Notamacropus eugenii: one gene and its partner. The protein of the gene in region 2 interacts with the protein of the main gene of each other region in a biochemical or structural test. Links are inferred from orthologs where the notes say so. Each region holds a gene or a part of one and is shown on either strand. Other genes may lie near its edges.

The links.
Region 1: of the proteins of KHDRBS1 (region 2) and FGR, one has a biochemical effect on the other in vitro, tested with the Homo sapiens proteins (2 studies listed by BioGRID, with this or other methods). The link is inferred for Notamacropus eugenii from reciprocal best matches to the Homo sapiens genes KHDRBS1 and FGR.

What each region holds. Positions count from the first base shown.
Region 1 is NC_092876.1:68,801,966-68,809,636, forward strand, and holds the start of FGR (tyrosine-protein kinase Fgr), read right to left. Parts: upstream 3,026-7,671; coding exon 2,906-3,025; exon of another isoform or gene 2,650-2,905; intron 2,072-2,649; exon of another isoform or gene 1,228-2,071; intron 1-1,227. UniProt on the Homo sapiens protein: Non-receptor tyrosine-protein kinase that transmits signals from cell surface receptors devoid of kinase activity and contributes to the regulation of immune responses, including neutrophil, monocyte, macrophage and mast cell functions, cytoskeleton remodeling in response to extracellular stimuli, phagocytosis, cell adhesion and migration.
Region 2 is NC_092876.1:77,776,371-77,783,545, forward strand, and holds the start of KHDRBS1 (KH domain-containing, RNA-binding, signal transduction-associated protein 1), read right to left. Parts: upstream 3,081-7,175; 5' UTR 2,953-3,080; coding exon 2,553-2,952; intron 1-2,552. UniProt on the Homo sapiens protein: Recruited and tyrosine phosphorylated by several receptor systems, for example the T-cell, leptin and insulin receptors. Once phosphorylated, functions as an adapter protein in signal transduction cascades by binding to SH2 and SH3 domain-containing proteins.

The sequences.
Region 1 (7,671 bases), about 9.0 Mb from region 2:
CCTCAGAGAGCTCTCCCTGCATCGCATGTCCTCCTCCCCCTCACTATTTAATCCTTCCCACGTGTTTCAGGGCCTCTCCACTCTCTGCAGGCCTGCAGCAAAGCTTACTGTCTGTGTCTCTCTCACTGGACTGCCTGCCTGCATTAATATTGGTTCCAAGAGACTGAAGGTCGAGTAGTACAAATACCAGACTGGGGATCACAAGATCTGGTCCTGGCTCTGTTGCTAACTTATTTTGAGACCTTGGACAAGTCCCCTCCCTTCTCCAGGCTTCAGTTTCCCCTTGAGAGAATTGGATTTGATCTCTAGGGGTCCTTTAAACTCTGATGTTCTGTTCTAAGGGCCCTCCCAGCTCTGACATCCTAAGTTCTAAAGATTCTTCTAAGGTTAGAGACTTTCTATCTTCTAAGGAACTTCCCAGCTCTCACATTCTATGTTCTTGGGCACTACCCAACTCTTTCCATAAGCTAAGGCCTATTTTAGCTCCAGCAGTCTATATGTTCTAAGGCTCTTCCCAACTTTGACATACTACAGCATTTTCTAGGGCCCCTTCTAAGCTCTACTATTCTAGGTGCTAAGGCCTGTTCCAGAAATTTGTGACAATTTATGATTCTTTATCTTGTCTAAACTCCCTAAAGATGGGAAACCATTGCTTCTCCCTCTTCTGTCTTCCTACAGGTCCCAAATACATGATTGGATATGCAGCAAATGTTCAATTAGGACTAGATGACTGTTGGTCATCCCCAATAGAATTGTGTCCTTGGGTACTTGTAAGAGCATACTTTGCTTTGTTAGGTTTTGGTCCTTACTGAGAATGGAGGTGATAAGTGAGGAGCATCTCTGGCTTGATTCTCTAGGCATCTGGTCTTATGGCCTGACCTTGGAGAGTCAGGATCTACTGATACAGTAGCTCTAGCTCAGGAATCATAGCAAATGACTTGACTTGCTTTTGCCCATAAGATCAGTCTAGAACCTAGTGAGCAGAGCTGAAACGAGTACATAGAAGTCTAGTTGGGGAAAGATCAATATACGAAAGAATTTCCTAGCTGTCAGAGCCAGCCAACAATGGGATGGAATGTTCTGATGGGTAGTGAGCTCCACATTGCTGCAAGTCCACAGACAGATGCAAGATGACCACTGGTGGATGATGTTTGTAGAGGAGATCAGACTTCAACAACAAGGTCTCTCAGGTTCCTTTCAGCTCTATTCCTTTCATTTTCTGAAAAATCATAATCCTTGATCTCAGAACAGATAGACTGGAAGAAGGTCAGGAAAGCAAAGAAAGGACCTAGACCACACCCTTAAAACTGCTTTGTCTGGTAGGCAGAGATTTCAAACAGCTCTGGTCATTTTCCTGTTCCCTACCAACCCTGTCCTAGAGCTTTCTGGGCATACAACACCCAGATACATCACCCAGAGGGCTAGAAGTTGGCAGATTTCCCAGGAGGTCTCAACTTCAGATAGGAGCAGGTGAGATGGGAGGTGAGGTCATACTGCCCTGTATGTTTCCTGGTTAATGCAGAGAGTTGGCTCCTTTCAAGTCCTGCCCCCTTCTCCTTTGGTTTCCTTTGTCACTGGGCCTATAGCAGAGTAGGATCCTCCACCCTGCTCTAGGTCTTTGACTTTCACTGGAACACCTTGCCCTCGGGGATGAAGGGTGGAGCTGGTGAATGTATCCTTTTAAAGAAGTTACTAAGGGCTGGGCATCTCAGAGCTTCTGGGGAGCCAGGAAAATGGATCACTTGTGCTCTGTGGGGTTGATTTGGAACAGTCTCTAGCCTCAGATGTGTATGGTGGGCCTACTTGTGTTTCCCACCCTAAGGAACTCCCAAACAAGAAGAGAGAGAGACCTCTCATTTATACCGCAGACCCCCTTCCTCTGAAAACTTGTATATTATTTCTAATCAGTGGGCTTGGGTTAAGAGTGGGCCTTCCTCCCCCAGTTCTCATCTTTCCCTCAGGGCCAGGTCACTGGGCAGAGTGCAGACAGACAAGAATAGAATGGAATGGCTCCATCTACCAAGGTCATAGGGAAGAGGAAGAGCACCTGAACACAGGCCAAGGGAAGAAGGTGAGCTGAGGGGTCCCAAGACTCGGATCTCATCTTTATTCAGTTCAGGAAAGCATCTTAGAGAAACTGGCATGACCAAACTCTTATGCTTGGTCACCCCAAAAAAAACTAGTTTGGAAGATGCAGAAGTAGATGTCAGAAAGAGTTTCCTAACAGAACTAACCCAAAGCAGATCAGAGTCCCCCAGGATGTGGTGGGTTCCCCCTCGCTCAAGGTTGTTAATGAAAGGCTGGATGACTACTCCTTAGTTGTATTGTAGGAGAGATTGTTGTTCAGGTACGAGTTGGACCAGATGGCCACCTAGGGACTGACAGGTCTGAGATTCTTTGATTCTGTAGCTGAGGGGACAGAACACTGGGCCTGGAGTCAGGAAGACTGACCAAGTTCAAATCCAGCCTCAGACACTTATTAGCTGTTTGACCCTGGACAAGTTATATAACCTCTCTTTGCCTCAACTTCCCCAACTATAAAATGGGGGTAATAGTAGCACAAGTTGTTATGAAGATCAAATGAGATATTTGTAAGGTGCCTGGCACATAATAGGTACTTAGTAAATGCATGTTTCCTTCTTTCTTTAGTTACTTCCTTCTGCATTTGTACATGGGGTGTTCAGGGAGGACCAGCACCTCTGGCATGAGGGCTGCTCATCCACCCTTGATGTTCACCTCTCACCTAATTCTCACCTGTCACTCCAAGAAGCTGTAGCATGAGCAGTGGTCACACCTTGGTAAAATCCCCTTGGCAGACAGGATAAACCAGGATGAGGATACCTGACAGACCGAAAAACTATCAGCAAGTTAAGGGGATATCTACCCCAAGCTTATGAAGACTTACCTGGAGGAATGGGCAGATGAGAATAATTTGTTCCACCGACCATGAAGGCAGCTGAAGCAAGCTCTGTGGAGCACTTAGAGCTTGGTCAGACATTGAAGATGCCAAGGTCATCCACTGCATCTCAGGCTATCACCAATCATCCTGACTTCGCTCCTGCCACTGGACTTGGATGACTCAAGAAGAGAGTGAGGCTGATGACTTTGTGCAACTTTTCCTCACTTAAATCCAATTCATGAGCAAGTGAAGACATCACTCAATATGTAACTGGTGCTTTTTCAAAATGAAGGACAAACAATAGTTTGGATTAGCTGGCTTCTTCCAGATGAGATTCTGAGAGGAAGCTGAAGTATCCTACCCAACATCACATAGGTAGTAAAATGGCAGAGCTGGGCCTTAAACTCAGGTCTCCTAACACCAAATTCCATACTCTTTTCACTCCCCACAGATCTCCTGCCTCTAAACTCAGATGGGGCAAGCAACACAAAGTAGTCAAAATTGCTCCAGATTTGGAGTCAGGGGTTCTGGGTTCAAGAGCCAGTTCAGCTACTACCTGTAGTAACATGAGTTATATAGGGGTAGAGACAGGAAGAGAATCACAGGGAGGCGGTGTGTGGGCTAGGTCACCTAACTGACACTGTCCCTTATTGTGCAGGGATTAGGCAACACAGATATTCAAATATTGAAACTGGGAATGAATTGTCAGCCTGACCTGGTTTTTGCCAGGTATCCACCCTGGGGGAAGGGAGCATCTGTCCCTGCCTTTGGAGAGCCTCCTCGACTAATAGCCTCTGGTCCCAGGAGCTCCCCACTCAATGGAGGAGATAGGTCAAAAATAGATAACCACAGCAGGATCTTAAGGGGACAGCAAAGGTTGGGGATTATATTATACCCAGTGGAGTTCAGCCAATCCAGTTTCCCCACGGGAGAGGGTTGGAAGGTACAAATGAAAGAAAAGGATGGGGCTAGGGTGTGGCAGACAGGGAGGGGATTGTTCCAGTCCCCTCCCCCACCCCCCCAGGAGGCCCTGCCTGAGGCTTTAGTTATTTAATGTAGTCACAAGCTGACAAAGGACCTCAAGGCAGAAGGGGTGGGACAAGGATTTATGTTTCCTGCAGGTGTTAGTGGCCTGGTCTGAGGTTTGAGGGAGGCACCCATGGTGCTCTAGGTGGCTCAGAGATTCCCTGGGGCAGTGGCCTCAGCATTGAGGAACAGCACTCAGCTGGTGAATTCCAAGGTGGACCTCATGGGTAGAGGGGACCACTGGGTTATGGCCTCTGGTCACCAGTATGGTAGGGAAGACTACAGTAGCCTCTCTGCAACTTTAGACACCGTTGGCCATCCTCCACACCCAGACTCTTTCCTTTCAGAACTTTTCTGACACAGCTTTCTTTGGTCTACCTTCACCTGTCTGTGTGGGCTTCTTCTCTGCCTCCTTTGCTGTATGGTCATCATCATCCCCACCACCCCACCACCTCTTATACTTCGTGTTGCTACAGGCTCTGACTGGGGCCCTCTTCTTTTCTCTATACCCTCTGTCTTGGTAATCTCACCACCTCCTTATAGGATTACTATCTCCTCTCTGCAGATATGTCTATCCAGCTGTGGTTGTTCCAGGTTCTGGGCCCACATCACCAACAATCTCTGTACACGTTCAATTGGATGACCTGTAGGCATGTGAAACTCAACATGTCCAATCACAATTCATTATCTTCTCCCCAGACTTGAGAGATTGGAAGGACAGTAATGCTCTCAATAATAGGGGAGTTGGGGAAATGGGTAGGTTTGAGAAGTAGATATGACCCTACTCATTTCCCCAACTTCTCCATTTCTATTGAGGGTATTATCATCTTTCCAGTCTCTCAAGTCTGTCACCTTGGAGCTAGCCTTGAGTCTTCATCTTCTTCTAGACAGACCAATGGTCAAGCCTTGTCCATTCTACAGCCTCAGTATCTCCATCTCTCCCTACTCTCCCCCTATATTATAACCACCCTAGCCTATCCTGGAACCACCTCTTATCACCTGTTGTCCTAACTACTGAAGTAGCCTCCTAACTTGCCTCTCTATATCTGGACTCTATCCTCTTCAATCCAACCTCCACACAGCCTCTTACTGAAGGCGTTTTCAGTATGATGCCAGGCTGCCTTTCCAGGTTGATACATGACTCACGTTCACATATTTTACACAGCAGTCAAACTGGCCTGCTTGCTGTTTCCTTGTACACAACATTCCTAACTTCCATCTCAATACCTTTGCACAGCTCCCACAGGCCTAGAATGTTCTCCCTTCCCATCTTTGCCTCTTAGAATGCAGAGCTTCCTCGCAATCTCCGATCACCTGGGGCTCAAAGATTTTCCTGAACCCTGTGATAGCAAATGCTCCCTATGAAATTACATGGTATATGTGATGTATTTACTTACATGTATGAATGTAGATATTGTTTCTCCATTAGAAAATAAGATTCTTGAGAGCAGAAACTATTTCCTTTTTGTTTCTATCCCTAGCACTTAGCATAATGGCTGACACATAGTAATTTTTTGTTGTTGTTTCAGATGTGACTGACTCATCATGACCCCATTTGGGGCTTTCTTGGCAAAGACGCTGGAGTGGTTTGCCATTTCCTCGCTCATCTTACAGATGAGGACACTGAGGCAACCAACACTAAATGATTTGCCCTGGGTCACAGCTAGTAAGTATCTGAGGCTAGATTTGAACTCATGAAGAAGAATCTTCCTGAGTCCAGGCCCAACAGCTCCATCCACTTGGCCATCTAGATGCCAAAGTGAAAATTTTAGCACACCCTAAACTGTATATACTTAGTAGCTTACAAATCATTTTACTCACAACTTCATGAAGTTTTTCCCCCGTCTTGATCTAAAGCTTTGTTTTCATTTGTGTATGGAACACAGGATGTGTCCTGCCACCAAACCAGACCCAGATACCTCCCATAACGTATAATCTTACAAGGTTGCTAGAGATGTTCAGTGACTTGCCCACAGTCACACAACTAGTTCTGGTCCCATTTTAGGTGGTGGCCCAGTGGATAAATAAACAGGACTTAGAGTCAGGAAGACCTGAATCCAAGTCCTGCCTCAAACACTTACTGGCTGTGTGACCCTGGGCAAGTCACTTAACCCTCTTTGCCTCAGTCTTCATTTATAAAATGGGGATAGCAAATAGCACTTACCTCCCAGAGTTGTTGTGAGGATCAAATGAGACAACCTAAAAGTGTTATTACTGTTATTAATCATGCCTATTTTATAGATGAGGAAAGTGAGAGAAGTTTAGTGATTTGACCAGTTACATAGCCATGAGATATCTGAGGCTGGATTTGAACTCCTGACTTCCTGACTTCAGGTCCAGTGTATAACAACTCACAGTTCCATAGCATTTTAAGGTTTGCAAAGCTCTTCACCTGTATTATTTCATTTGAGGCTTATAATAAGTCTTGGAAGTACGTTCTCAAATGAGTCTATGTAAAGTGCTTTGTAACCTGTTTCCTAGAAACTGTCTGAGATTTTGGGAGGGCATTGAGAAAGCCAGTCTCTTTTCCAGAGGCCGAGGACAAGCTAGGGCTGGGGGAAGGGACAGGATGTTCTTGGAGGCGTTAGGAGAGTTCTTTTCAACTTGAGAAAAGTGACCTCCAAACATGCTCCCTCACCTAGGGCTGGCTTAAGCCTTTGTGGCCCCGTGGTTTGACCTGTGGCTTCCTCTGAACTATTTGGTGCGACTAGAGAAAGAAAGGGTCAGCAAGGAGCTGTGAACGGTGGGGGGCCGAGAAGAGACTAAAGGGTAGGCAATAATATCCAGCTTCCTGGGTCCCCGGAATGCATGTGTGCCCTGCCAAAGGGTCCAAGCCCACCGTCCTCCTGGCCGGCTACAGGAACATAGCCCTCAAGCCGGTACTGCCCCATAGCCGTCTCACATGGACGTCTCGCCCGGATCCCTAGCCTTCTACGCCCACCGGATGTTCTCGGACCCTCACTTCGGTGAGGGCAGGCTCTGGGTCTGACCGCGGCCAGTCATTAGACTCTAGCACCACCCCCAGACAGCTCCATGACCAGAATCAGCTCAGCTCCCAGCCTCTAGCCACTCCCCACCCCAGATCAGCCCAGTGCTCAGTAACTGGCACCCCTCCGCCCTTCATAGGCCCCACCCCCGTCTCTGGCACCTCCCAGACCTCGCCCTCCACACCTGGCCAAGTCCCTAAACCCAGTCCTGGCTCCAAAATCTGCCCTACCTGCAAGACAAGCCCCGCCCCAGGAGAGTCCCAGTCCAGTTCTCCTCTGTTTTAGACTAGTTCCCGTCCCCAGGAAGAAGTCCTACTCCCCAACCGATCCATGCATCTTTCCCATCGTTCCTCTCGACCTCAAGTTAATTCCTGGTCCCCATCCCCGGGATTCTCGCCCCTTCCCACCCTTCCCCAGTTTCAGCCCCATCCCTAGCCCAGATCTAGTCCCACGCCCGGAGCACTCTTTTGCTCCAGTGCTTTCCCTATTTGTGACCACCCAGACCACCGTCTACCTACACACAGGGTCCCCACCTCGTGCTTGGCCCTTCCCTTGGGACCCAGGGCCCTGTTCTACGTCCTGCACCTGGCGATGCACATCACTCCTGAGGAGAAGACTGATGTAGGCCCGGAAGCTAAACGATGAAGTAAGTGCTGCTGGTGAGCCACGGAGTGCTGCGTAGAGAGCTTCACTGACTCAAGAACTCCTGGTGCCCGCCTCATCTCCATGAAGAACACCTGCGGCGTCATCACAGCTGCC
Region 2 (7,175 bases):
TATATTTACACACACAGTCTCACTCATTTGCCACTATATTGCCCAATCATAGAACCTTTAAGAGTGCCTCCTGGGGTTCACTTTATATTTGAAATTCTGAATGAATCTTTACAATTCATTCATAAATACCTTAACAAAAAGTATTACAACTTAGAACTGGAATATAGCTCTCCATCTGGTTTTCCTAACAATGATATTTCTCTAATCCAATCTCTCCGACAGGGGTTCTTAAGGTGGGTTGCATGCAACAGTTTCTTTAAAATATCCTGAGAACTGTATTTCAATATGATTAGTTTCTTTTGTACATTTTCAGTATTTTATTTTATGCTTTTAAAAGCATTATTCTAAAGAGTCCACAGGCTTCCCAAGTTTGCCCAAGGGTCCATGATACGTAAAAGGTTAAGAATCTAGGCTCTAATTACTTTACCAGCTCAGTAAAATTAACTAAAGGAAAAACCAAAGCTTAACAAATGAAAAAGTTTCCCTAAAGTTTCTCTTGGAAGGAAACAAAAGGTAAACCAACAAAGGGAAAAAACCTCAATCGTTTGAGGATTAATACATTCAAGTGCTTACTCTAAGAAACCTTTCATTTAAAACTCCAGTTACAAAGATTTACCTATTGGGAACTTGGTATAGGCCTAAAGGATCTGGTAACCTTACGATTTCTTACCCTGTTTGGCTCTACAAAATAAGGAGTTCTGTGTATGGTTACAGCTCTAAACATAAGAGCCATTACTACAAATGCACTAAAAAAGTACACTATAGGTCATTTTTGATGTGTTTCATCTAGATCTGTTTTTAGATACTTTTGGAAATATAAATTCCCAGACTATTCAGCAGTTGATGAGATGTGCTAGCAGAAACTACTTCGTAGTTAAAACGCAAATGAGGAGCTACTCAATGGCAATATAAAGACTAATTATTAGAGCCATCTTTCAGAAAAATCAGTGTTTTTTGAAAATGGGTCACAGATTTTAAGCATCACTTCCAATAATTAAGAAAAATATTTACATATCAAAAGAGAAGGTGCTTAATGAAAAGCAATGCATGTCACTTTGGTGCCACCACGCTAAGCCAATCTGACACTTACAATGTCACAACACAGTAAACCTCAATCTAAAAAGGGAACACCCCCTTCCCAAGCAGGTTTCCAAAAGAACTGAATTACACCACACAACCGAGAACGGGCAACACTAAACACAATATTAGATCTAAAAATGTTTCCCATTACATCAAATGAGATGTAAACTTGACTGATCGGAATGCTGACAATCACAGGTTTCAATTTTTGTTTTTAAAGTCGGGCCCCCCTTCAAGACAGAGAACAAAGAACAGCCAAGTCACTTCTTTTCCAAGTCTCCTGATGCTTAAGGTTGCCAAATAAACTAACGTTCCCAGCCCTGAAGGTTCCAGATTTTAACGTACCCAGTAAATCTATTTATCATAAAAAACTCTTTTGAAAAGAATCCCACAAGTAGAAGCTAATACAAAGCAGATGGGTTGTGGGGATAAGGGGAATCGGAGCTCCCAGGTGATTGGACCGCGCGATGTGGGAGCGGAGCGCGTTCAGCAGACACAGAACAAAGACTGGCACCCCCTTTCTCTAGTCAGTTCTCCAACCAGGATAAAACCCACGACAACACGCTCTCGGGGCGAGGCGCGGGGGAGCAACTTCCCTCCAGGCCGAGTCCTCCGGCATTAAGGATAAAGAGCGCCTCGCCCCCCTCCCCCGGCTGTCGCGGTTCAGAGTCTCGAGTGGAGAACAGGAGGATCCCACGCCGTTAAACACCCGCGGGGGGAGGGGAAGGGAATGCAGGGTACGGCCGGGCCCACAGAGGACGGCCCTGGGCGGCCAGTAGGGTCGGCGGAGTCGTGTCCACTTGGGGCCGCAGGCGCCCCCGGCCGGCCCCGCCCCCTGCCCCTCCCACCCCAGCCCGCCTCGGTCCCTCCCGGCAGGGCCCTCCTGCTGGGGGCACCCGCCGCCCCGCCGCCAGGCCAGCCTCGGGCGGCAGAGGCCGACTCCGGGCTCCGGCCGTCGGCCAGTCAATCAAAAGGCATGGAGGTGGCGCTTTCGAGGCGCCGGGCACGGGCTGCGGATGGAGACCCTCGGAGGGGGGCAGGACCCCGGGTTCCGAAGGGACCGTCGTCACCCCACCTCTCACAGTAGTGACCGGGAAACGGAGGCCCTCCGGCACCTTGTTCACCGCCCCCCCCCCATTTAACTGATGGGGGAGCTGAGGCTCGGAAGAGTCCTCGGGCATCTCGCTCGCCCTCTCCCCTCGGTTTTACAGGCGGGGAAACTGAGGCCTCGGCTTCCCTTTCCAGCCCCGCGACCTAACAGTGACATTTCCCCGATGCCACCCCTCCCTCGGGGGTTCGTAGCCCGGGCCTGGGGAGGGGGGGCGCTCCAGGACCGGAGCCACCGTTCTCTCCGCGGAATCCACCAGGGCCCCTTCCGTTACAGCCGCAGAAAGAGCGGGGAGCCCACACCTCCCTCCCCCGCTTGGGCCCGGGCCCCCTCCGAGGCTCGCCGCCACGGGGCACCGGCTCACCTGCAGCCAACAGCTGCATGGCGTGGGTGAAAGACGGGTCGAGGGAGTCCTTCTCCGCCATGAGTTCGGGCAGGTACTTGTTCTCGGGCTCCATCTTGGCGGCGGCCGTGGCGGAGGGCGGCAGCAGCGGGGTCGGGGCAGGCGCCGGGCCGCCCCCGCCCACCTCGGGGCCCCCGCCGGTGGCCGAGGGAGGCAGCAGCGGCGGGGGCTGCGTGGTCGGCGCGGCCCGAGAGCCGCCGCCACCCCGAGGGCCTCCGCCGCCGCCCCGGGGCCGGTGAGAGGGCAGCGGCTGCCGGGACGGCGCCTGGCGCGGCGGCGGGTGGGCGCCTGAGGGATCCACGGCGCCGCCGCGGCCCAGGGGCCGGCACAGCCGCGCGACGGGGTCGTCCCGGCGCTGCATGAGTGCGGAGCGGGCGGGAGGGCGGCTGAGGAACGGAGCGCGGCGGCGGAGGCCCGCGCAACGGCGGCGGTTGGCGGAGGCGGGAGAGCTGGCGCGGAGAGGACCGGAGCAGACCAGAACAACCCAGCGAGAGATCGACCCAGACACAGAGTGAAAGAGATCACCGGAAGTGAGCGACTGCGCACGCGCGGCCCGCCACCGGTGCCGCCCTGCTCCCAGAGCCGAGAACAAAGTCCCCGACTCTGCCACGGCGCCTGCGCGTCACCACCGGCGCGCACCTTGTTAAGTCCCCGCCCCTCACGTCGACCGCCTCCACTGAGGAACCGGCGGAGGAGCGCTAGCGGAGCCTGCTTAACGCCAGTACGCACGCGCTAGCCCTCCCTCGCTCCCTATAACACGTGACCAGGTTGTAGCGCGGACACGTGTCTCCACCCCTGCGGGCGGGCGGGCAGCGAGCTGGGGCGGGGGCCGTGGAATGTCTTTGTCTGAACGCTGCCCCGCGGGCTCGGGGAGAGCCGGGTTGGCCTCCGCTTGAGCCCCGCCCTTTTCTAACAGTCCTCGGGGGAAGGGACTCCGGAAGATAGTGAGGTGTCTAAAAGAAAAAGGGGATTCAGGCCCTGGGCGGGTAGGGCTTTGGAGGGAAGCTCGGCCCGGGTCCGGGGTGAGGCTCCGGGAGGGGAGCAGGGCGTGCCCCTCCGCTCAGTCCGTGCGGGGCGGGCTGGCGCCGGACCTAGCTCGGGCTCCGCGAGGCCAGTGAACCAACGGCTGCGGAGCTCCCGTGGGGCGGCAGGCTGGGCGGGGGGCGGGGATAGGAGGCGCTCCCGCGCTGCACCCACGAGAGCCGCCGGGACGGATCGCGGACCAAAGGTCTGTGCCAGAAGGTGCGAAGCTTCACCCCAGCTCCGGCCGAGCCCCGAGAAGGGCGCTCCCGGAGGCGTCGCTACAACCGCCTCTCCTACTACCTGCCCTCCTCCCACGGAACGAGAAGTTCCCCAGGCCTGTGCAGATGTCGTCATCCTCCCCGGATCTCCTCGACTTCCCAGGGTTTGGGAATGACAGCCTGGGGGGCGGGGGGAGGGCAGAGACCTTTCAAACCACGTGTACATTCCATGAAACACGTATTCAGAGGCCTGGATTTGGAATCAGTGGACCGGACCTCGTTTTGAATCCTGCCTTGGCCATTAAGCACTGAGACAAACCTCGCATCTACGAAGTAAAGGCTTTGGACTACATAAATAACCTTCAAAGTGGCATTCCCTTGTAAATCCAGGATCCAGTGAAAGCTTCAGGTTGAGTGGGATAGACTTAGTGAAGACTCCTCAGATTGTAATTTTTCTCCCAGGGGTGAGGTAAGGCCTAAAGGCTCAAGGTTACAATATTTTTAGAATAGAATAGTTCCATATAAGGATATAAAACTGTGTAGTGTATTAGGGTCTCAATGACTGGACAAAACTTACATAATTCCTCGATGTCTTCATTTCAAAAGGGATTGGTTAGATTTCGTGTCTAGAATGTAAGACCATATTCTCAGCTAATGAGGATAATGGTCAGTGGGGGGAGAGGGACTTGTGTTAGGGTCTGTATAAATCACTGTCTTTTCTTTGTCTTTGGCTTTCCTACTCCTACAGGTGAGCCCCGCTTCTCGAGAATCGAATAAATCTCTTTTCTGTCATCACTTTGAGAGGCCTCTGAGTAACTGATTTATGTAGGGACCTGAGCCATCCCACACAAGGTGTACCCATCTTCAGACTTCCCTTGGGCCTCCGTCCTCGGGCTGGGTCCAGCTTGGCCGTGCCTACTTCTAACTAGAATGGGGCACCCAGAGCCGAAGACAGCCCTCTAGACCTGCTCTGCCCAGGCCAGTGAGAGAGGTGCTCCTGCCTCCCGAGTTCTCATCGCTGCGCTGCTTTGATGGGATGCAGTACCAAAACTTTGTTACCTTTCATTCCACCAAAACTCTTAGATCTCTTTGAAAGTGTCTCACTTATCTGGTAGACTGCCTAACCAAGACTTCTCCCAAATTGTATTTCTGAGGTCCACACGTAAAACTTTATTCCTATTAAATTTCATTTTATGAGATGAGGCCCAATGTTAGGTGGTGGGTTTTTTTTTTTAACAAATGGACTTTAATATAAACAAGTGCTGGAATTAATGCACGTTTCAGGAAGTTTCTTTTCAGAATCTCTTTCTGAATCCTGTGATGAAGTGTCTTTAACTATTCCTTCCAACTTTTTGTTATTTGCAAATTTGATAAGGGTACCAACTTTGACCTTATCTTAGTCTTGGGTGAAAATGATAAATGTTAAACAGCAGAGGGCTAAGCCCAGAATTCTTCAAGAGGACACTACAGACCTTTTAAATAAATTGACATTGACCCATTAATGACTGCTTTTTGGGTCTGACCAACAGGCGCTGGATCTGTACGACTGTACTATTATCTAGTCAATATTCTATTTTGTCCCACAGAATACCATGAGACATGTAGCATTCTGCTAAAATCTGGCTATCTTTTGTCTACAACATTTCCCCATTCTACCAATCTAGTTACTCAGGGAAAACAAAGAAAGCAAAGTAAAGTTAGATTGGCATGAACTGCTGTCAGGCTGACTCGTTATGATCATTGCTTCCTTTTTCTAGATGTTCAAGAGACATCCCTTTAATATATGTTCTAGAATTCTGCCAGGAATTGAAATCAAGGTCACTGACCTATAGTTTCTAAACTGCACATTTTCTTCCCTTTTTTGAAAATCAGAAAAATATTTGCACATCTCCAGGCCCACAGCAAGTTTCATACAAGCTTCATGCTTCATACTCCTTCAAAGATCACAGAATAGCTAGACAATCACACAGACCTCTTCTCTGAGTACCCTGGGATACATCCAGGTTTAGTGACAAATCCATCAAAGGTAGCTGGGTATTTTCTTAACATTTTCTTTACTTATCTTGGGTATCAACTCATTATTACCATAAAAAGGGTCATTATTATTCAAATGGACAGGATGAAGGGCAGGACAGCAGAGAGTAAGAAGAATAATTCAATTCAGATTTTGCTTCTTTTTTTTTCTCTGAGAAAGACAAAGATCTGATGGGAAAGGGGAAAAAAAATGGCCCCTAGAATTGATGCCCAAGATAAAGCAGAGAGGTGATAAGGGAATGCCTTGTTGTCCTTGATGGATTCGTTTTACCAGGCCCAGACAAACTTAATTGGAGGGTAATGAAAAATCTAAAAGATGTGATTGTTGATCTTTGACATAATGTCCAGTACTAGCGGGGTGATGGTCTCACTGTACTCTAACCCGATCAGTCGCCATCTGGAGGATTGTGTTCTGTTTTACAAAAGGTGCTGATGAACTAGAGAGCCTACAGAAAAAAGGCAAAAAGGATAGTAAAGATTTAGGGGGCACATGACAACCACCTTCTGGTATTTTAAGGACTGTCCTATGAAATTAGACCTTTTCTTCTGCTTGCCCCCAATGGGCAGAATTAATAATAATAATTGGCATTTATGTTAGTGCTTTAAGGTTTGCAAAGCAAACCTTCCTGTCTTTACATTTTATCATCACAACAAACTTGGGAAGTGACATCATTATCTTTATTTTATCAATGAGGAAACTGAGGCAGGCAGAGGGTAAAGGATTTGCCCAGCGTCACATGGTCACAAAATATATGTCAGAGGCCAAACTAGAACTCGGACCTTCTTTACTCCAAGTTTAGCAGTCTAACCAGTAACACTCTAGTCACTGAGCCCACCTCTAAGAGCAATGGATGGACGTTGCAAAGAAACTATTGGGTTCCATAGAAAAGGCAAACTTCCTGATGATTACCACTATCCCAAAGTGGAATGGGGTGCCTTGAGAAGAAGTGAGCCCTTCACTGGAGGTCTTCAAGCAAAGGCTGGGTGGCCTCTTGTTAGGTACGTAAAGAAGATTCTTGTTTACTTATAGCTCAGACCCCCTGATCTCTGCAATCTCTTCCAACTCTTGGGATTCTGTAATTCCACGATTCTGCCTGACTTCCCTATAGAATCTATCCTTTTTCCGAGTCATTTGAAATAGTTGTTTCTCCCCAAATCTAGGGTGTGTCAGACTGTGCCTGACTTTTTTCTTCTTTACCAGAAATTCTAAGATGGAGTGGTCAATCCCCTGATCATTTTCCACATCTGGTATAGAAGAATACTTGTCGAATGCTAATAAATAGGGAGGAGGATAGAGAGAATGGCTGTA